2 linked regions of the Pelodiscus sinensis genome follow. The protein of the gene in region 1 binds, or shares a complex with, the protein of each later gene. Links are inferred from orthologs where the notes say so. Each region holds a gene or a part of one and is shown in the gene's direction. Other genes may lie near its edges.

Evidence for each region. The genes of interacting proteins can lie anywhere in the genome.
Region 2: PIGF (region 1) and PIGG share a complex: the UniProt entries of both Homo sapiens proteins name them as parts of the ethanolamine phosphate transferase 2 complex. The link is inferred for Pelodiscus sinensis from reciprocal best matches to the Homo sapiens genes PIGF and PIGG.

The regions. Positions count from the first base shown.
Region 1 is NC_134713.1:164,108,737-164,119,483, forward strand, and holds the start of PIGF (GPI ethanolamine phosphate transferase, stabilizing subunit), read left to right. Parts: upstream 1-5,581; 5' UTR 5,582-5,718; intron 5,719-6,888; 5' UTR 6,889-6,912; coding exon 6,913-7,140; intron 7,141-10,747. Other genes in the region: CRIPT (cysteine-rich PDZ-binding protein), read right to left, coding at 134-237, 1,657-1,711, 3,719-3,784, 5,371-5,386.
Region 2 is NC_134716.1:3,106,997-3,118,051, forward strand, and holds the start of PIGG (GPI ethanolamine phosphate transferase 2, catalytic subunit), read left to right. Parts: upstream 1-6,820; 5' UTR 6,821-6,927; coding exon 6,928-7,081; intron 7,082-9,025; coding exon 9,026-9,231; intron 9,232-11,055.

The DNA.
Region 1 (10,747 bases):
ATAACACTTTTCTTAGCAAGGTAAGTTTGAATTATTCTTCAGTTCTATTTTTGATGCCTAAAATTAAAACAAGTGGAGTTCCATTTGTGCACTAAATTCAAGATGGGTAAAACTTATGCTACACAAATCTCACCTTTTTTATAAGCACATCCCTGGCAGTAGTGAGACCCTGGCTGATGAACCGAACTCTTACAAATCCGGCATATTGCAAATTTGTTCTTCCCGTAAGGATCAAACCTCAGATAAAAAAAATTAAATAGTCCAACATTAAATGACATGTAAAAGCCATAGGGAGAAAATACTATTTGTCTCATCACTAGGACTGAAAAATCATTGAACTTAGAGTGATTATGAACAGAGAATGTAGAGAGTCTGCAGTCTACAAGAGAGATATTCAAAGACTCCTAAGACCACATATGGAAACTAATAATATGGCCCACGGCACACCTGCAATGTGTAGACAAAGCTGATATATTTTTATCAAGTTTTTACTTTAAGAAGTCTTTATTTGTAAACTATCAATAATAGAATATTTTGCACTTATGGTCACTAAGCACTTTGCAAAAAGTGAATTAATCCTCAACACACCTATGAGGTCAACAATTATCATGCTATTTTATAAGGGGACAAACAGATACTTAGACGTTTCTCAGTCACTCTAGGTCTCACAGGAAGTTTTGTCAGAGGCAATAAAAGAACTCACATCTCCCAACTCTTAAACCATGTCCAACACTTCCTCTTCAAATCTAAAAGTCAACTATGCACAGGGCTCGACAAATTATTTTAAGCCGGCGGGGCTGCGCAGCACGGTCAGCGCATACACAGCGCGGTGTGTGCATGCGCAGTGCGCGCTTCCATGCGGCTGGCAAGCAGGGCTCGCCGCCACTTGGTGACCCCTGACTATACAGATACATAAAAGTTTAGGAAGGACTGAAGCATTGCAGTTTGGCCAGTTGTATATTGTTTTCTCCCTAGCACAAAACAATACGGCTACGTCTACACTGGCCCCATAAAACGGAAGAGGCATGCAAAGCAGGTAAGTCAGAATAGGGAAATCCGTGGGGGATTTAAATATCCCCCGCGGATTTAAATAAACATGTCTGCCGCTTTTTTCCGGCTTGGGGAAAAGCCGGAAAAAAGCGTCTAGACTGGCGCGATCCTCCGGAATAAAGCCCTTTTCCGGAGGATCTCTTATTCGTACTTTCAGGTATTCCTACTTTCAGGTAGGAATAAGAGGTCCTCCGGAAAAGGGCTTTATTCCGGAGGATCGCGCCAGTCTAGACGCTTTTTTCCGGCTTTTCCCCAAGCCGGAAAAAAAGCGGCGAACATGTTTATTTAAATCCGCGGGGGATATTTAAATCCCCCGCGGATTTCCCTATTCTGACTTACCTGCTTTGCATGCCTCTTCCGTTTTATGGGGCCAGTGTAGACGTAGCCTACAAGTCTGAAGATGCGCACATTTGTATACAAATATTTATAAAGTCATAACACTGGATGGTCCTTGCCTCTAATAGCTTGCATTCTGTCAAGACAAATAAAATGAAAATTGTATACCAGTTTTAGAAAGCACTCAGCAATACACGAAACAAGTTTTGGCTCCAGTACAAAATTTATAAGATCTTTATTTTTAATTAAGATAAAAATCGCAATACCAACCTTGCTTTCTTTGAAGTCAGTGCCTTATTTTCATTTAATTTTCGTCCGCCACTTTCTTTATAGAGGAAAGATATACCAATGTACTGACTAAAATCAAAGTCATTTGTAAAAAGCTCATTTAACAAATTAAAGAAAAAAACACACACCCATATTCCCCTCCCAGACTTGATCAAATAAGGAGTAAAAAAGTTCATTCAAAATAAGAGCCCAGGAACATTATAGGTCTTAACAATCCAATAGAACATACCACGTTCTCATATTATTACTAATATAATATGCACTAAATAGCAGAAATGCAATATATTATAAACAATGAAAAGTTATCTACGGAACATAAGCAGCTGTGACTAATGTAAGACTAAGTTCAATCAGCCTGCCAGGAGACAGTGTATGGAAACATAAAACTCTTAGAGAATTCATATTCAGTATTTTGTACATTTCCAGAATCTCCAGAATTTTGGTCTTAATATATAAATTAAATGTAAAATAGAAATAAGATTCAATACTGGTATTGGTCAAGGTAGGAAAAAATGGGAAATGTCCGTTTCTTTTTCCTGACTTGAAAGAATTGACATGTAAAGCTGTAGGTTGGTAGACTACTGCACTGTACAGAATTCATTGCACACCAGGGGCCTTAGTTACTAGGCCAATATTAGACAGAAACTTTGTTGCAGTGCTAGAAACACCTAAGTGTTCTGACTCCAGTTCTGTGCCTTCACCATCAGGAAGTTCTTTCTTCTCTTTCCTCCTCCCCCAAAAGGGTAAGCTGTCATATTTAATTACGAACTAATACGAAGGATGTGAAAGGGAAACCACGTAAATGGTAAACTGATGAGCCCATTCTCATCGGATAATGTTCATGGTTACATGTAGGCTCTGGGTATGGCTGGTTCCCAGGGAGCTGCCTGCCACCCTGTGTTACTACCTCTGATACAGAGGCAGCAGCACAGGGTGGTAGATGAGAGATGGCACACATGGGGAGCCATCAGCCATCCCACATGTAACCACTGAAATTTTTAGGACTTTATGTGGTTACTAAGGGTGTGTCTAGACTACAGGGTTTTGTTGACAAAAGCGGACTTTTGTCAACAAAACTATACCTGCGTCTACACTGCCGCTGAGTTCTGTCGACATAATGTCGACAGAACTCACCAGTTTTGTCGACGGCTGTAAACCTCATTCTACGAGGAATAACGCCTTTTGTCGACAGAGTTCTGCATCTACACTGTCCTTTGCGTCTACACTGTCATGTTGACAAAGCGGCTTGCTTGTCAACAGAACTGGATGTAGTCTAGACGATCTTTGTCGACAGAAGCTTTGTCGACAGTATCTGTCGACAAAACTTCTGTCGACAAAAGTCTGTAGTCTAGATGTACCCTTAATTACACACATTTTAACATTCCTAACCAATACCGCATTGTTAACCTACTGTTTATCAGTTTGGTATTCCTAGTCCATTTAGCTGCTAAATATGTAGCAGTACAACAGAAAATAAAAAGTATCTAATATCTCAGAACGACCAAATAAAATAATGACCAGGATTATTAGCCTGATGGTGGGTGAAAATAAAATGTTGAGGATGAGTGGCCTAAAGCAAATGGGTGGAAAAATGAATATAGTGCACCCTGAATTTGGATAACAGGACCACCTAATCCACATTTCATTATTTCGTATTGTGATATAGTAGAAATACACACTGCTAGGGATGCGAAAGGTTAACCGGTGGGGGTTGGAGCAGCTCCCTGCCCACTGGGGGTAGGGGACTGCTCTGGCTGTGGTGACCTGCTTGTGGCAGAGGACTGAGGGAATGCCCCCACCCCCTTTAATCCATTAATTAGATACATGTAACATTTAATCAGTTAACCAATTAAATGGAATTTTACATCTCTACAAACTGCACTACAGAAGAGCAAAATAATTATAGTCCAATAGACTGAATTATCATAGGAAAGAATCTGAAGTGAAGGACAGAAATGGGGAAGCTGCTCATCTATTGGCATTGTTCTTTGCATAATAAAAGCTTAAAGTCTTCCTCAATTAAGTTAGTCTTTGAATGCAACACCTGTAGTATTTCTTGCTCCATCTTTCCATGTGTCAGGTGTAATCACAGTGCCAAGTTTCTTCTCACCTGTAACAGAACACACAGCAGGGGAAGAAAACTAGACTTAGTTTTCATTAAAGCCTCTAAGCAAATGGTTCTTATTAATACAAATGTTATTAAATATATATTTCTGGAATCAGTGCTTAGCAGCTCCACATGAGAAGCCAGGCTCTGCTTAGACCCTATAGATCCCCTGTGAAAGATGCTAGTTCATTGATAGAGGCAATGATACAGATGAGACAAGAGCAGGGGCAGCCAGGAAGCTGTGATGTGAATATTGACAGCTACCCCACACAAACCCAGGCAGTTTACCAATAGCTATGCCCATCTCAGTTATGACCGCCCAGCTGTGGGTGAGAGGGAGGAGAATGAGTGAGTGCACATGCACACACACGTGTGTGTGTGTGTGTGTGTGTAGATGAGACCCAGCCCGAACAGGGAGATACATCATGCCCCCATCCTGGCAGAGCTCCCTCTAAGCTAAACAGCTGCCTAAAAATCCTTTCACAAGGGTTCAGGGCTACTGTGCATGGAGTTGCCAGAGACTGGGGGAAGAGATGCAGGGGCAGCAGGCGGGAGCCTATACTTGATGGGAGCCAGCTTAAAAGCTGCCCTGTGTGTAACTGTGTAATTTTCAGCAGTTAGGCAGTTACACACACTTTAACATGCCTTCAGATCATCCCTGTGCAAAATGAATGTTATGTGCATCAATACGGAGGAGATGTGCTGCACATGAGCTCCATATTGGTGCACTCAGGAGAGATGTCAGACAGTGTTTAACTGACAAAAAGGCTAATGGCATATTAGGTTGCATTAAGAGGAACATTGCCAGCAGATCCAGAGATGTCATCATTCCCCTTTATTCGGCTTTGGTGAGGCTGCATCTGGAGTACTGTGTCCAGTTCTGGGCCCCCCCCCACTACAAAAAGGATGTGGATGCATTGGAGAGGGTCCAGTGGATGGCAACCAAAATGATTAGGGGGCTGGAGCATATGACTTATGAGGAGAGGCTGAGGGACTTGGGTCTGTTTAGTCTGCAGAAGCGAAGAGTGAGGGGGGATTTGATAGCAGCCTTCAACTTCCTAAAGGGAGGTTCCAAAGAAGATGGAGGGAGGCTGTTCTCAGTAGTGACAGATGGCAGAACAAGGGGCAATGGTCTCAAGTTGGGGTGGGAGAGGTCCAGGTTGGATATTAGGAAAAACTGTTTCACTAGGAGGGTGGTGAAGCACTGGAATGGGTTACCTAAGGAAGTAGTGGAGTCTCCATCCCTAGAGGTGTTTAAGTCTCGGCTTGACAGAGCCCTGGCCGGGTTGATTTAGTTGGGATTGATCCTGCCTAGAGCAAGGGCCGGACTTGACCTTCTGAGGTCTCTTCCAGCTCTATGGCTCTATGAATAATCATGGAACTTCAACCTCCCCCCTTGCGCAGATGGTAGGGGGCGGGGAAAGAGGATCCCCTGCCCCGCTGGGCACCCAGCTGCGGCGGGGGGAGGGGGGATGGTCTCGCGGCTCAGGCGGTGGGCGAGGACTCCAGGCACGCATCGGCTTGGCGGAGCCCAGGCGCGGGGCGCTGCCCGAAGTGGCGGGGAGGGACCGGCGCCCGCGAGGACTCACACTTCTCGCAGACCATGCTGAGCTGGAACCGCCGCCGGGCAGCCGCAGACCACCAACAGCTCGACAGACCAAAACAAACTGCCACTTCCGGACAGTCCCTTCCTCTTCCGGCCTCCGCGCTCGCCCGCCTCCCTATGGAGCCAACCTATGGGGCTGCTCAATGTACGTCCCCCGCAGCCTGACTGGTCGCCACCATCCGTCACTCTCATGCCTTGTGTCTTCTCCTTTGAGCAAGGCGCGCAGCGCCGCCTGCTACGCAGGGAGTTGAGCGCCGGGGCCCGAGAGCCGCGCGACCTCTGACCTCGTGTTCGGCGTAGTCCCGCCCACTGTCTGCTGACAGGGACTCGGGTAAGAGACAAACGGTCTGTGCTCTTCCTTCCCAGCAGGCTGCTGCCCGCCCCCCGCTGACTGTCTTCCTCCCCCCGCTTTCTGCTGCTCCCCCTCCCCTCCCGTGACGCGGCCCCACCTCGGGCTCCCCAGCATCCCATCCTGGGCAGCGCCCGCTGCCTTTCCTTGCTGTGGTGCGTTTTCCAGCCGAGCAGTCAAGCCTCTGCCCCTGCCAGTACTTGCTGGGCTTCTTCTCCTGTGGCATCGATGTCACAGGTCACAAGGGGGACGTGGGGCAGCATTCACCTCGCCACTCCCATCAGTGCCACTCTGGGTACCCAATGATCCTCCCAGCGAACCATTTGGTGATGCAGCCTGGTTCGGGCCATCGGAGGGTATGTCTACACTGCAGCGTTTTTCCAGAAAAAATGGCCATTTTTCTGGAAAAACAATACTTACGTCCACACTGCTTTTACTTTCTTTCGACAGAAAGCTGAAAGAACAGAGGGGCTTTTCTGACAGTGGTAAACCTCTTTCTATGAGGCAGAAGCTTTTTTCCAAAAAAGCTTTTCCAGAAAAATGCATGTGTAGACGTAGAAGAGGGAGTTCTTTTGAAAGAAAAGGCTTCCAGGAAATAACACAGGTGCCCTGGTGGCCACTCCGTCCATATTAATCACAACTTAAATGCAAGATAGCATCCAATTAATGTGGGTGCTATGTTTTGAAAAAGCACATTACTTTTTCATTGTGCTTTTGCTGTGTGGATGCACTCTTTCAAAATAAGCTTTTCCAGAAGATCTCTTCTGGAAAAACTTCCAAAAGAAGCTTGCAGTCTAGACATAGACTGAGGCATGTTGCACAAAGGTCAAACCTTTTTCCTCCTCTGCAAATTGCCTGATGGCACAAAGCCTGTGGTATAGGCTGTGTCTGCCTGAGAATGTAAACATCAGCAAAGCCAGTGAATCAGATGTTTTAGCAGAAAACATCACAATTCACTGCCAATCACAAAATGCAGTACAATATCTGAAAAAAAAAAAATTGGAATGAAACATCATGGTTGCTCCTAGGTTTTCTGTTTTAAAGTAGCACACAATTTATCTTTTTCAACGTTTTTTTTTTTTTTTTTAAGTTTACCCTCCCTCTTAAATTTTTCAGAAATTAACTACAGGAATGTCATTTGCTTTATTGTAGGTGCACTATTCAAGATAAAACACCATGAAAGATACAGAAATAAAGAGACTGCTGTTTGCCCACATCATTTGTGTATTTTCCATTATCTTAACAACTATTGTTCCACCTCTCTTTTTGGAGAACTTCTCAGTTTTGGGAACACACCTTATCTGGCTGTGCATCTGTTCTATATGTGTAACTACTGTAAATATAATATTGTATATAATACTTAAACCAAATCCGTCTTCTAAGAGAATTTCACTTGCTCACAAGGTAAGAATTTGTATAATTAACTTAATGCTAATAGCTTTGAGGAAGGGTTGACTATCTTTTTCCTGAAGAAGTCAACTAGGAAAGTAAAAGGACAAAGTACAGTCAAATGCATGGTTGTCAAATCTTCACCTTTGTAAATGAGTGGAGTAAGTGTGTATTACCTTTTGAAATGAGTTTTCCAGTATTTTTATCAGTGTTAAAACTTTCTTTTCCATTGAAGTTTTTCAGAGGGGAGCATTACTGGACCACATTCTTCTCCCAGAGCCAGGGAAAGGATCTAACAGTCCTGATGCTGCCAATTCCACTCCAACTGGTCTCTTTCTACCTTTGACATTTCCAGCAAACCCAGGAGTGCTGGTTGTATTATATCTTTAGTGTCTTTTCAAGAGCTGGTGGCTTATAGCCTAAAACCATCATCCTCCAATTCAGTGATGAGCAAACTATGCTAGTGAGCAGACAGTATGAGTGGCTCTCTTTCATTTACATGGGCTGCAAAATTGTCGTAATCAAGACTGTCATTCCTGGGATAGGGTAGCTTTGCTAGCTGTTCTTGTGTGCATAAAACTTTTGGGTTACGCTAATTGAACCATAGCAGTATTTTGGCTGTGGAGGGAGTGCATGATTCTCATAGTCAGTGTTGTGTTCAGTCAGCAGTCAGCGCACACATCATTTCACATACCCTTTGCTTTACTTCTCATTTAGTAATACCAATAGGAAAAGCTATGCAGATGGAAACCAGAGTGTGGCAACACTGCACCTGGGTAACAGTAAACAAAATGTCTTGTGGGTCACACATAGAACCTTAATGGATGTATGCAGGTCATGGGATGCCCACCATTACTCTGATAAGCTCCACGCTCGCAGAAATCAGTGAGACTCTGAATGCAGAAGTCTACGTGCACACATGTCACTGCAAGATCATGCCTAAGCCAGCATTATGTTCAAAAGTTTGGTCTCCTCTGCAGTTAACACATGTTAATACATAGAAGTAATTCAAGGAAAAACTGTAAACCCATGGAAATTTAAATGCAGGTAAAGCACAATAAAATTAATTGAGAAAGGTTAGTTAAGATTTTTTTGAACAACAAAGCCATCCCCCCATAGACACTTCAGTTTTATAGAAGACACTATAATATTACATTTTGCTGATGGAGTATTGGGAACATGAAACTCATAAAATGAATACTACCATAGGAGTTTAGACCAATACTCAGAGAGTTCAGAATGGGGAAACACAAAGGCAGGTTGTCACCAACTTTCTTCTGCACCTGATTTGCTGAGTTGAGGGGATAGACCACTATTACTAAGAACTAATGATCAAATAGCTTGACAAGCCAAATATATTGAGTAGTTTTTCACATATAGTGTGTGGTTTGACATTGATTTATTTGATAAGGGGGAAAAATAAAATCCCCTTTATAAAGTTTGTGACGTGGGGGAAAAAATACCTAAAAAAACTCAGATGATGCTTGAAACTTAACTAATGTTTGAAGTTTTCTTTGTGACTTGTTTTAGATAGAAACACTCAACTTTGGTTGGTGCTTCTTTAATTAAAACTGCTCATAAAATTTCTATAATACAAAAGAAAAACAGGTAACAATTGAGTACCATCTACATTTATAGAATATTGTGTATTTAAAAATGTATATAACAGGATTCTAGAAAGTTAGATACATGAGCAGCATTGTCATCTTGAAATCTAGTCAGTTTTAAAATGTAGTTGATGGAGTCAAATATAGCTTTATATACTATGATGTCCGAGTGCTAGTTTTTGTTGTATTACTATCACATTTCCCTGTTAAAAAATATTTTTAATTCCCCATTGTACTTTGTCAAATACATTCCAAAAAAAGCATTATGCAACATCAGGCATTTTCAAAGGTGAACAGGAACAAACTGAGGAACATTTTTCTCTTATCCTCAGTTAGAGGTATCATAGTTGTTACTTGTAATATTACCACAGTAAGTAAAACATATTTTCATACTGAAGTAGAATTTTATTTTTTAAATTGATATAGCTTTAAAATACTAAACACAGAAAAGCTTGCATAATAATCAGTTTCAACCATAGTCCAATGTAATAACTTCAGAAAAAGGCGAATGTAGTGCCCATCTTTTAAAAATGGAAGGAGGAGAATCTGGGGCTAGCCACAATTCAGTACCTGGAATAATCAGGGAGGAGATCCTCAAGGAATCCATTTTGAAGCACTTGGAACAGAGGAAAGTGACTAGGAACAATAAACATGGATTCAGCAAAGGCAAGTCATGCCTAGCTAAATTGATTGCTCTCTATGATGAGGTAACTGGCTCTGTGGATATGAGGAAGGTGGTAGACATGATAAACCTTGACTTTAGCAAAGCTTTTAATATGGTCTCCCACAGTATTTTTGCCAGCAAGTTAAAGATTTATGGATTGGATAAGTGTAAGGTGAATAGAAAGCCGGCTAGATCGTTGGACTCAATGTTTAGTGATCAACAGCTCAGTGGGCCGTTGGTATCAAGTGATGTGCTCCAAGGGTCAGTTCTGAGGCTGGCTTTGTTCAACATGTTCATTAATGACCTAGATTAGGGAATGGATTGCACCCTCAGCAAGTTCCCAGATGACACTAAGGCTATGTCTAGACTGCAAGCCTCTTTCGAAAGAGGCTCTTTCGAAAGATACTTTCGAAAGAGCCTCTTTCGAAAGAGAGCGTCTAGACTGCATGCGGAACTTTCGAAAAAGCAAGCCGCTTTTTCGAAAGAAAGCATCCAATGAGTCTGGATGCTCTCTTTCTAAAAAGCCTGTTTGCTTTCAAGAACGCCTTCTTTCGAAAGAGCACTTTCGAAAGAAGGCGTTCTTCCTCGTGGAATTAGGTTTACCACTGTCGAAAGAAAAGCCGCATTCTTTCAATTTAATTTCGAAAGAACGCGGCTGCAGTCTAGACGCAGGTGAAGTTTTTTCGAAAAAAGGCTACTTTTTTCGAAAAACCCCCTGAGTCTGGACACAGCCTAAGATAGGGGGTGAGGTAGATATGCTGGAGGGTAGGGATAAGGTCCAGCATGACTTAGACAAATTGGAGGATTGGGCCAAAAGAAGTCTGATGAGGTTCAACAAGGACAAGAGCAGAGTCCTGCACTTGGACAGAAGAATCCCAAGCACTGCTACAGGCTGGGCTTGGTTGGCTAAGCAGCAGTTTGGCAGAAAAAGACCTGGGGATTACAGTGGATGAGAAGTTGGATATAAGTCAACAGTGTGCCCTTGTAGCCAAGAAGGCTACTGGCACATTAGGTTCCATTAATAGGAGCATTTCCAGCAGAACTAGGGAAGTGATTATTCCCCTTTATTTGGCACAGGTGCGGCCACATCTGGAATAGTGTGTGCAGTTCTGGGCCTCCCATTACAGAAATAATGTGGACACATTGGAGAGAATCCAGTGGAGGATGGCAAAAATGATTAAGGGCTGAAGCACATGACTTACATGGAGAGGCTAAGGGCTTTGAACTTATTTAGTCTACAGGGGAGAAGAGTGAGAGGGTATTTGATAGCGATAGTCAACTACCTAAAAGGGGGTTCCAAAGAGGATGAAGCGAAGCTGTTCTCAGTAGTAACAGATGACAGAACATGGAG
Region 2 (11,055 bases), on another chromosome or scaffold:
GGTGGTGGTCATGTGCCCATCATTTATTTGTACTGTAATGTCAAGGAAGTGGCTCTGTTGTGTGGACTGGTGCAGGCTGAGGTTGATGGTGGGGTGGAAATGGTTGAAATCTCTGTGGAATTCTTCAAAGGCCTCCTTCCCCATGGGTCCATATGATGACAATGTTGTCAGTGTAACACAAGTAGAGGAGGGATGCCAGAGGTTGGGAACCGAGGAAACATTCTAAGTCAGCCATAAATATGTTTGCCTACGCTGGGGGCCATGTGAGTACCCAGACCTGTACCACTGATGTGAAGGTATAAATTGTCTCCAAATTGGAAATGGTTGTTGGCGAGGACGGAGTCACAGCGCTCAGTCACCAGGTGTGCAGGGGCATCGTCGGGGATAGTGTTTCCGGAAGCTTGTTGTCCATCCTTGTGTGGAATGTTGGTCTAGAGAGCTTCTACAATCATGGTGGCCAGGCTAGTGTTTTCAGGAAGGTTACTGATGCTCTATCATTTCCTCAGGAAGACAGTGGTGTCTCAAAGGTAGCTCGGAGTGCTGGTAGCGTAGGGTCTGAGGAGTGAGTCCACATAGTCGGACAACCCTGCTGTCCAGTGTGTGAGTTGATGGGATGTCTGGGATTTCCAGGTTTATGGATGTTGGGGAGCAGATGGAACACTCCTGGTTGTGGCTTTAGGAGTGGGTCCATGTTGATTTGGCCCCATGCTATTGCAGAGAGTTTGAGCAGATGGTGTAACTTCTTTTGGTTTTCCTCAGTGGGATCAGACAGAGGAGGCCTGTAGCAGGTGGTGTTGGAGAGTTGCCTGGCATCCTCCTGTTGTTAATCTGACCTATTCACGGTGATGACAGAGCCTCCTTTGTCAGTCGTAGGTCTCTTCCCCAGAGCCCACATTCTGGGGTCCTCCCCTCCACAGAATACAGTTACCCCAGTCCCACCACTTGACTGAGCGATCCAATTCAAAACAACAAGGGAAGGACATTGTGGCCTGGGAGGCACATGGGCCCCGACAGGGCGATGGCGATATAAAGGGCAGGTGGTAATGGGTGAGAGACAGCCAGAAGAGGGCGCTCCAGTGCAGGGGCAAGCTAATCCCAAATGTGACCGGCAGGAGGTGCCATGGAGTCCCAACCTATCGCACTATCACATGTATGTTCTCTTTCACTGAAGCAATAGTCACAAGGGGAGCGGTCATTCCCAAACGTTTTGCCATCACGACCCCATTTTGAAACTGGATTCCTGCAGCCCTATGTGGTGCCTTCTGTTCAGACCAACAGAAATGCTGGAACATATAAAGTATGATCTCCAAAGTGTATACTAGAGTTAAGAATCCTATAGACAAGTTGCCTATTTAATGTGTGCTAGCCTCATTTTGATTTTCAATCTGAATACCTAAAAACAGATTTTATAAGAGATTGTGTTAAGATACAAATACACTTTTCCGCATGCATATCTTAGAAATACTTCATAGAAACATAGAACATTAGAACTAGAAGGGACCTTGAGAGAGGGAGTCCAGGCCCCTGCTCTCATGGCAGGATCCAGTACCATCTAGACCATCCCTGATAGATATCGATCTAAACTGCTCTTCAGTATCTTCAGAGATGGTGATTCCACAATCCCTCCTAGGAAATTTATTCCAGTGTTTAACCACCCTGACAGTTAGGAACTTTTTCCTAATGTCCAACCTAAACCTCCCTTGCTGCAGTTTAAGCCCATTGCTTCTCGTCCTATCCTCAGAGGCCAAGGAGAACAATTTTTCTCCCTCCTCCTTGTGACACCCTTTTAGATACCTGAAAACTGCTGTCATGTCCTCTCTCAGCCTTTTCCTTTACAAACTAAACAAGCCCAATTCGTTCAGTCTTCCTTCATAGGTCATGTTCTCTAGATCTTTAATCATTCTTGTTGCTCTTCTCTCGACCCTCTCCAATTTCTCCACAACTTTCATGAAATGTGGTGCCCAGAATTGGACACAATACTGCAACTGAGGCCTAATCAGTGCAGAGTAGAGCGGAAGAATGACTTCTTGTGTCTTGCTCAGAACACTCCTGTCAATGCATCCCGGAATCCTGTGTGTGTGTGTGTGTGTGTGTGTGTGTGTGTGTTTTTGCAACAGCATCACACTGTTGGTCCATATTTAGCTTGTGGTACACTATGATCTCTAGATCCCTTTCTGAAGTACTTCTTCCTAGACAGTCGCTTCCCATTCTGTATGTGTGAAACTGATTGTTCCTTCCTAAGTGGAGCACTTTGCATTTGTCCTTGAACTTCATCCTATTTACCTCAGACCATTTCTCCAGTTTGTCCAGCTCATTTTGGACCCTATCATCCAAAGCATGATGAGTCCATGGAACCCCTCTCAGCTTTGTATCATCTGCAGGCTTAATAAGCTTACTCTCTATGCCAGTACGGCAACACCACCTCCCTGTTTACCCTGCCTATCCTTCCTGAGTAAACTGTACCCGTCTATACCGATATTCTAATCGTGTGTATTATCCCACCAAGTCTCTGTGATACCAATGATGTCATAGTTGTGTTTATTTATTAGCACTTCAAGTTCTTCCTGCTCATTACCCATACTTCGTGTATTTGTTTATAGGCATCTAAGATACTGATTTGATCTTGCTTCCCCATTCTGCCTTGTCCCTTTTTTTCCTCTATTCTAGCTCATGCTCCCTCCCATTCTGACCCATCTCCCAGGTCTCCCATGTTCTTCACTTACCTGTGGGCTTTGGTCACCTGCCCCCATCGAACCTAGTGTAAAGCCCTCCTCACTAGGTAAGCCAGTCTGCATCCAAATACTGACTTCCCCTTCCTTGAAAGATGAGCCTCATCCCTCCTTAGCAGCCCTTTTAGGAATAGCTTCCCATGGTTGAGGAAGCCAAAGCCCTCCTGGCGACACCATCTTCGCAGCCAGGCGTTCACCTCCAGGATGCACCTGTCTCTGCCTGGACTCCAACCTTTGACAGGAAGGAGCAGAGAGAATACCACCTGTGCTCCAGACTCCTTCACCTGTACTCCCAGAGCCTTGCAGTCACTTTAGAGCCACTCAGTGTCACACCCTGCAGGGTCATTAGTGCCCACTTGTATAAGTAGCATGGGGTAATAGTCAGGCCCTCAGAAAAATGAGCCAGGGGTGTCTCTCAAGTGAGAAGCAAGGAAAACACCACTGACATACCCCAGACTAAGAAGCAGAAAGACACTCCCCACATGCCCCTTGCACATCAGAGCTTTGGGGGCCCAGGCTAGTAGATTTTGTGGGCTCCCCTAGGTTCTGGGGTGTGGCCAAAAATGAGAATTTCAGCATGTGGGAGGGGGCTGCTGGGAAGTGGGTTTGGGGTCTGAGCGGGAGGGAGAGTGAGGAGTGGGTTGGGATTGGTGGTTCTGGGAGGGTGGTAGGATGTTGGAGAGGGCTGGGGGTAGGAGGGCTGGGTGGGAAGTAGGATGCAGGAGCAGAGTTGGGGTGTGGGAGCTGGGTGCAGGAGCAGAGGGTGGGTGGGAGGGGTGCGGGAGCTGGGTGGGGGTGCAGGGTCTGAGTGATGAGGAGGGAGGTGCTTACCTGGTGCAGCTTCTTGGGGGTGCAGGGCTGGAGTGCCAGCATCACCTCCCTGATGCTGGGGGGGTTCCCAAAGTCTTAGGGGCCAGATCTAGGCAAGCCAGGGGCTGGATTCGGCCCCCAAGCTGTAGGTTCCCCAGTAGAAGAACAAGATCACTATGATGGGGGCAAATATGTGCTATGCTTTTATTGCAGTGCAGGGGCTTAGCTAGGATGCAATTAACTAATGTAAGGCCACTTGCCTTAGTATCTGAAGCTGAATATGGTGGTGGAGGGGGAACTCACCCCCTTGTTTGTGGGTAATGCTTCTGTACAATTCTGCTGCTGACTTCACTTGTCGGATTCAAAGTGTCTCCTTTGTAGTGGGGTTTAAAAAGACAACCCATGTGCCTAATCTTTCACCTCCAACACTACAAAGCCTTTGAGACTCCCACTGCGGTGGCACGAAGTACAGATTCGCACTTCAGTGGACTGCTTTAGATAACCCTTTCTGATGCTCTGCCTTTGCTTCCACCAGCAGAGACTTCACACACACAATTTGTCTGGGAGTGTAGAATGAAAAAATGACAAAAACGGTACCTGATGAAACAGGTTTTTGGGGGTTGTACTGTAATTGGCTATATACTGCAAAGAGAATAATTTCATACATGTCACTCTGCTGATACAGTATAGGCCTGGGGTATCAGAAGAGGAAGGCTCTCTTGTTCATACTTCAGAGGAGTAGCTGAGTTAGTCTGTAACAGGAAAAACTTAAGGCGCTACTAGACTAGTAGTTGTTTAAAAACTAACAAAACATGTAGATGGTATCATGAGCTTTTGTGGGCACAGATGACAGGAGTGTTAAAAGTCCAGATCCAAGAATAAATAAGGGAAGGAAGGAGGGACGGGAAGAAGGAAAAAAAAGAAAGGGGGGAAAGGAGGGGAGGAAGAAAGCATAAACTAATCTGATAGCTTTCTTTGATAGGATAACGAGCCTTGTGGATAAGGGAGAAGCGGTGGATGTCATATACCTAGACTTTAGTAAGGCATTTGATACGGTCTCGCATGATATTCTTATTGATAAACTAGGCAAATATAACTTAGATAGGGCCACGATAAGGTGGGTGCATAATTGGCTGGATAACCGTAGTCAGAGAGTTGTTGTTAACGGTGCTAAATCCTGCTGGAAAGGGATAACAAGTGGAGTGCCGCAAGGGTCTGTTTTGGGACCCGTACTGTTCAATATCTTCATCAATGATGTAGATATTGGGATAGAGAGTATGCTTATTAAGTTTGCAGATGACACCAAACTGGGTGGGGTTGCAACCTCTTTGGAGGATAGGGACATAATTCAAAATGACCTTAGCAAGTTAGAGAAATGGTCAGAGGTAAACAGGATGAGGTTTAATAAAGAGAAATGCAAAGTGCTCCACTTAGGAAGGAACAATCAGTTCCATACATACAAGATGGGAAGTGACTGTCTAGGAAGGAGCATGGCAGAAAGGGATCTAGGGGTCATAGCGGACCACAAGTTGAATATGAGTCAACAGTGTGATGCTGTTGCAAAAAAAGCAAATATGATTCTAGGTTGTATCAAAAGGTGTGTTGTAAGCAAAACTCGTGAAGTCATTCTGCCACTCTACTCTGCACTAGTTAGGCCTCAGCTGGAGTACTGTGTCCAGTTCTGGGCGCCACATTTCAAGAAAGATGTGGAGAAATTGGAAAGGGTACAGAGAAGAGCGACAAGAATGATTAAAGGTTTAGAGAACATGACCTATGAAGCCAGGCTTCATGAACTGGGCTTGTTTAGTTTGGAAAAAAGAAGATTAAGGGGGGACATGATAGCGGTTTTCAAATATCTAAAAGGGGTGTCACAAGGAGGAAGGAGAAAATTTGTTCCTCTTGGTTTCTGAGGACAGGACAAGGAGTAATGGGCTTAAAGTGCAGCAGGGGAGGCTTAGATTGGACATTAGGAAAAAATTCCTAACTGTCAGGGTGGTCAAATATTGGAATAAATTGCCAAGGGAGGTGGTGGAATCTCCCTGTCTGGAGATATTTAAGAACAGGTTAGATAGACATCTGTCAGGGATGGTGTAGACGGAGCTTGGTCCTGCCTTGAGGACAGGGGGCTGGACTCGATGACCTCTTGAGGTCCCTTCCAGTCCTATTATTCTATGATTCTATAAGCTGTAAGTGACTTTTTACACTCCTGTCATTTGACAAAGTGGGTTGTCAGATCATACTTTCATTGCCTGACAAGTCTTTGGTTTGAACTTAAATCCTCCTGAGTTCTTTGCTCTGTAACTAGCACTGGATTGTGTCTTGTTTGTGACACTTACTGGACGTCATCTTAGTAATGGTTACAAAAAAGATTATCTTGCTGCACTGACATCTTAGCCTGACTGCTGCTAGCTGTTCTATGCACATTGTAGGACTTTGGTGTGATATTACTCCCTATGTTGGTGTAAATAAAGTCAGGTGTAAATGGGCAAGTTCCAGTACTATGTTGTCAATTAAAAGGAAGAAGGAATATCTGGCTAACTTGCTGCCAGAGGGTGCGATGGCACACAGGTAGATAGACCGATAAGTCCCTGACATGTTGTAGCTTGAGGACTGCCAAAACTGTGCATGGCAGCACTACCCACACATGAACCATACGTCAAACTAGTCAGTTCCTGTTGTGTGAAGTACACCTTGAAGGGAGGGTGCAGCGTGACAGGCTCCCAGGCTCCTTACGGGCTATTTCTTTTAGCCTCTTTCTCCTACGCCCATGCTGGGTTAGAGGCCAGTTGTGGGCACAATGAATGAGCCTCAGCCCTGTTCCTGGGGGCTAGAGGGTAGCATCCCTTCTGCTGGGCTGGGCTTGGCTTCGCCCAGCTTTCCTGCTGCTTGCTTCGTGCAACCCGCTTCCCTGCTTGCGATAGGTACGGTGAGCGGGGCCCGCTGGCTGTGCACACCAAGCCTGCCCTGCAGGGCACGTGCATGAGCGGCCTGCAGGCCTGAGCCCGGGCCCAGGCTTTGCATGCTTAACCTCGGTGTTCACACCCAGGGCATTGGCGCACCCCCCACGCAGAGGCTGCAAGGACCAGCCGCGTGCAGCAGAGCACAACGCGGATTGGTCCCTGGAGCGCGCCGTAGGGCAGGCGGCGGGTGAAAGGGCTTCTGGGAGTTGTAGTTCGCGGCGCGACTCTTCCTCTCTGGGGCCGGCCTGGCGCGGAGGTTCGGTGCGTTCCGGGGGCGGAGGCTGCTGGTTGCTTCGTCACGAGCCAATCGGCGGGCGGGCAGGGCAGAGCCGGGGCCGCTGATTGGGCGGCGTAGGAGAGCGCCCCGCCCACTGCACCTGAGGCGGCCGGGCTGGGCGGCGCTGCCCGGGGCTGCCGTGGAGCCGAGCATGCGGCTGCGCTCGGGGCTCTTCGCCGCCGGCTGCCTCCTGCTGCAGGCGCTGGGCGTGGGGCTCTTCCTGCGCGGCTTCTTCCCGCCGCCCGTGCGCGCGCGCCGCCCCGCGCGCCCCGCCCCGCCCGCCGAGCCCGCCCCGCCCGGCCCAGGTAACCGCCCCACCCCCCCCCTCCCGCCCCCCCACCCGGGTAACCGCCCCGCCCCCTCCCCCCTCCCATCCCCCCACCCGGGTAACGGCCCCGCCCCCTCCCATCCCCCCACCCGGGTAACGGCCCCGCCCCCTCCCATCCCCCCACCCGGGTAACCCCCTCCCTCCCTCGCCCCGCCCCCTCCTCAGGTAACCGCCCCGCCCCCCGCCTGGCCCAGGTAACCGCCCCGCCCCCTCCCCTCCCCAGGTAACGGCCCCGCCCCCTCCCCACGCCCGGGCCAGGTAACTGCTCCACCTCCTCCCATCCCCCACCCGGGTAACCCCCTCATCCCGCCCCCTGCCCGGGTAACCGCCCCGCCCCCTCCCTCCCTCGCCCCGCCCCTTCCCCACCCAGGTAACTCCTCCTACCCCCCCAGGTAACCACCCCACCTCCTCCCACCCCTTGCTTGGGTAATCGCCCCGCCCTCTCCCCAGGTAACTGCCATGCTCCCGACCTGGGTGCTGCCCCGCCCCTTCTCTTCCCGGCCCAGGTAAGCGCCCCTTCCCCCCACAGGGAGCTGGTTTTTAAACTGGTTCCTCTCCTGGACCGGCTCCCTCCTGGCACCCTGCACTGCTGTTTGTGATACAGAGGCAGCAGCGCAGGGGGACCAAGTGACTCCCTAGTAGTGGGGCCGGAGTGCACTGGCTGCTGGCCCGCCCCAGGGAGCTATAGAATAGTCACATAACTGCTGGGAATTAATGTGGTTACTGGACTGTTCAATTAACCAATAGCTAACACCCCTACTGTCTGTCACTTGGCACTTGGGTCTGCCATCCCCTCCTTCTTTTATTATAACAATTCCATTCATACTGTTTTATTTAACAGCTTGACTGCAATTCCATTATTAAAGCTTTTTACAGGTGGTTAGAATTTGGCTTTAAAAGTTTGCTTTGGGCTGGAAGCTAGAAAACAAGCTCCAGCAGCCCAAAAGTTTGGGGTCCTTTTAGTTTTATCATCCATGAGCGAGAATAAACCTGGCAGGAACTGAGGCACTAGCAGTAGAAAGAACATAAAGTTTAATTTGACTCATCCCTAAGTCTCCCCATTAGCTGGACAAGAAGTAGCAACAACGGTAGCTCGAGCTCGAGCTGACCATGTTGGGCACTAGTATCTGTTCTGGTCCAGCCACTCCACCGCAATCATATCCCACCAACCTCCTTATATTCCAGGGAATAGGACTGGCCTATCATCTCCCAGTGGCCCTTAGGAGTGGACCTGGACTGCTAGCTCCCCAACAGCGGGCAGAAGTGGGGCTGCTGTCACAAATGTTTGCTTCTGTGCATCTTCACTACTCTTGTACACTTTCCCTGGTTGAGATGATTAATACTTGTTTCAGTTGAAGCCCTACTTGGTCCAAGTTTTTTTGTTTATTACGTAACAAAATAAATAAAAGCACAGGCACAATGGGATTCCAAATAATTATATTTTCTAAATATACACAACAAGGAAGCTGTATATGCAAACCATTAAGCTGGCTTCTAAAACATAAACAAGAATGGTAGCCACTAGAGGGCTCGCAAACCATTTTACCCAATTTCTGTTCACTACATCTAGCACTTCCCCTCACTAATGGCAACACTGCAGGTCAGAGTTGATGAAGTGTGTTACTGGGACCTCAGTCAGACTAAAGAGTGCATGGGCTGAATCTTTTGGTTTCATGAAAATTCTGTTGCCCAAGCCAGGGCTGGATAGAAATAGATGTAGATTCCATCCACGTGCACTATGGAAGTATGAAGTATGGTCCTGTCTGATTTCCAACTGACCTTCTAACTTTAAATTCCTTTCACTGGCAATTAAAACAGTTGCAGAAGTCCTGTGTGAATTTTGTGAAATGCTGATCACTTTTGTTGTGAGCCCTTAACTTGCAGTGATGCTTTACCCATTTTACGTTTACATTTATTTTAGGAGTTACTTCTAATTGGACTAAGATTCCATCACCTCTTTTCAAAAAAGTTGTCATTGTGCTGATAGATGCTTTGAGAGATGACTTTGTGTTTGGGTCAAAAGGTAAACAGTTCATGCCCTACACTACACAACTCGTGGAAAAAGGAACATGCCACAGTTTCATAGCTGAAGCAAAGCCACCCACAGTCACCATGCCTCGAATTAAGGTAAACCGTTTCATTTTGTTTATCTTAATGTGTTGTAATTTCTTAGCTGATTCTGGCTGCTCCCAAGCAAGGCCCTGCCCAGCAAGGGATCCAAGTGAGTATGACATCTTTTCTCCTTGCCGTAGTGTTACAGGAGTTGAGAAAGGAAAGGAGTTTATCTTTCCATCTCTTACAGCAATATGTGAACTACTGTAGTAGTAGTCTGTAATGGAGAAAGAGGAAGGTTGGTGCTCTGGACAAATTCTCCTTTCTATTTTCAAGATTGTCCAATATTCCTACATGCTCAGTCTCACTCCTTTAATTAATAAGTTTAACAGCACTCTTGCCACAGTATCAGTGTAGGAACTATATTTTAATATAATGTTGACAGAGAAACATGACCACCAGTCGATCCTGGTTTAGCTTGCAAGTTGTAGTGGTCAAGCCACAAAAGGAAGGCAGAGGGCAGTTATGGAGCTGAAGAGACTTGATAGAAAGGGAAATAACAAGGGTTATCACTTCTTAAACTAGTCAGTCTTTGCATATGAGCTTCACAATTGACAATGTGAGGGAGAATGTAAGAACTGCTAAGGTGATATTACAGGTAGCTTTGCTTAGGCAATTTTAACTGTCATTTATGTAGTTTTAACTCATTATGATGAGTCAATAACCTTTGGAGTTGTTTGCCAATGGCTTCCATTTTAAAAGCCAGCTCTAGTCCTGCCTTGTAACTTTGGGTGGGAAAACCTAAAATCTAGATTTACTCTAGGATATTTTTGCAAAGAAAATTGGCCCTATTGAGTTTCAGGGCACTGAAATCAAACTGTGCATATTTGTCCAATATTTAACTTTTAGTGCATCCCAGTCATAAATCTGCCTGCTTTATAAGGTAAGGAGCCACTTCTCATTTTACCCATGGAGGGAGGAAAAGGGAAAAACTGAGGCACAGAGGTGAAATGACTTATTCTAGGTCAGCTCGCAGGTTAATGGCCGAGCAAGGAAGAGAGCTTAGGTCTCCACAGTCTTGCTGTACTTGTTGTCATGGACTGGTTTCCTTAGTATAAAATTGCTTTTCATTAACGTATCACACTTGTCATATGTTAAATATCTTGGAAAATGTGCAATAGTGGCTGTTACAGAAAACAGCTTGTAATTAAGTAAAGTTGAAATTTATTGTAGAGTGTTGAGGGCCAGTCTGCTCCCATTAATTTTAATGAGGACTCTTCTATCATGGATTTCAGTGGGAGCATATTAGAGCACTGCTTGAGTATATTGCTGCCATCCTCTTTCTAAGCTATCGGTCTCTGAAACCGATATCAAACAGAGCTCTTTTCCTGTAGCTTTATTAGGAGCCTGTAGAGTTGGTGCTGTAGAACCAGAGTTTCAGTAGGGCAGGTTGGTGATGTACTGTAAAGAGTGCAGCCTTGTTGACATTCATTCATTCAGAGGCTGATGTAGGTATTGTTATGCTCTAGTGATGGCATGTGACACTCTAGTGATACAGCGTATTGCTGATGGTATGTGCTTAGCAGCAGGGTCTCTGATACCTTGCCATTTCTTGAAGTTGTTATTCATAGATTTTAAAGCTGGGGAGAGACAGGCTAGATCTCTCTTGCTCCTCTGGTGTCTACTTTTGGTGATAGGAGTGGTAGCTCACTGCCACTACTTGGTTCCTGTTGAAAGAATAATTGAAATCATTATAATACATTGAATAAATCAGGGCTACTCAACTTTGGAAGCCCTGGGTACCACAATGATACTCACAGCACATGCAAAATACAGTAAACTTCTGGTAATCCGGCACCTTTAGGACCCAGGGGCCGCTGGATTATCAGATATGCCGGA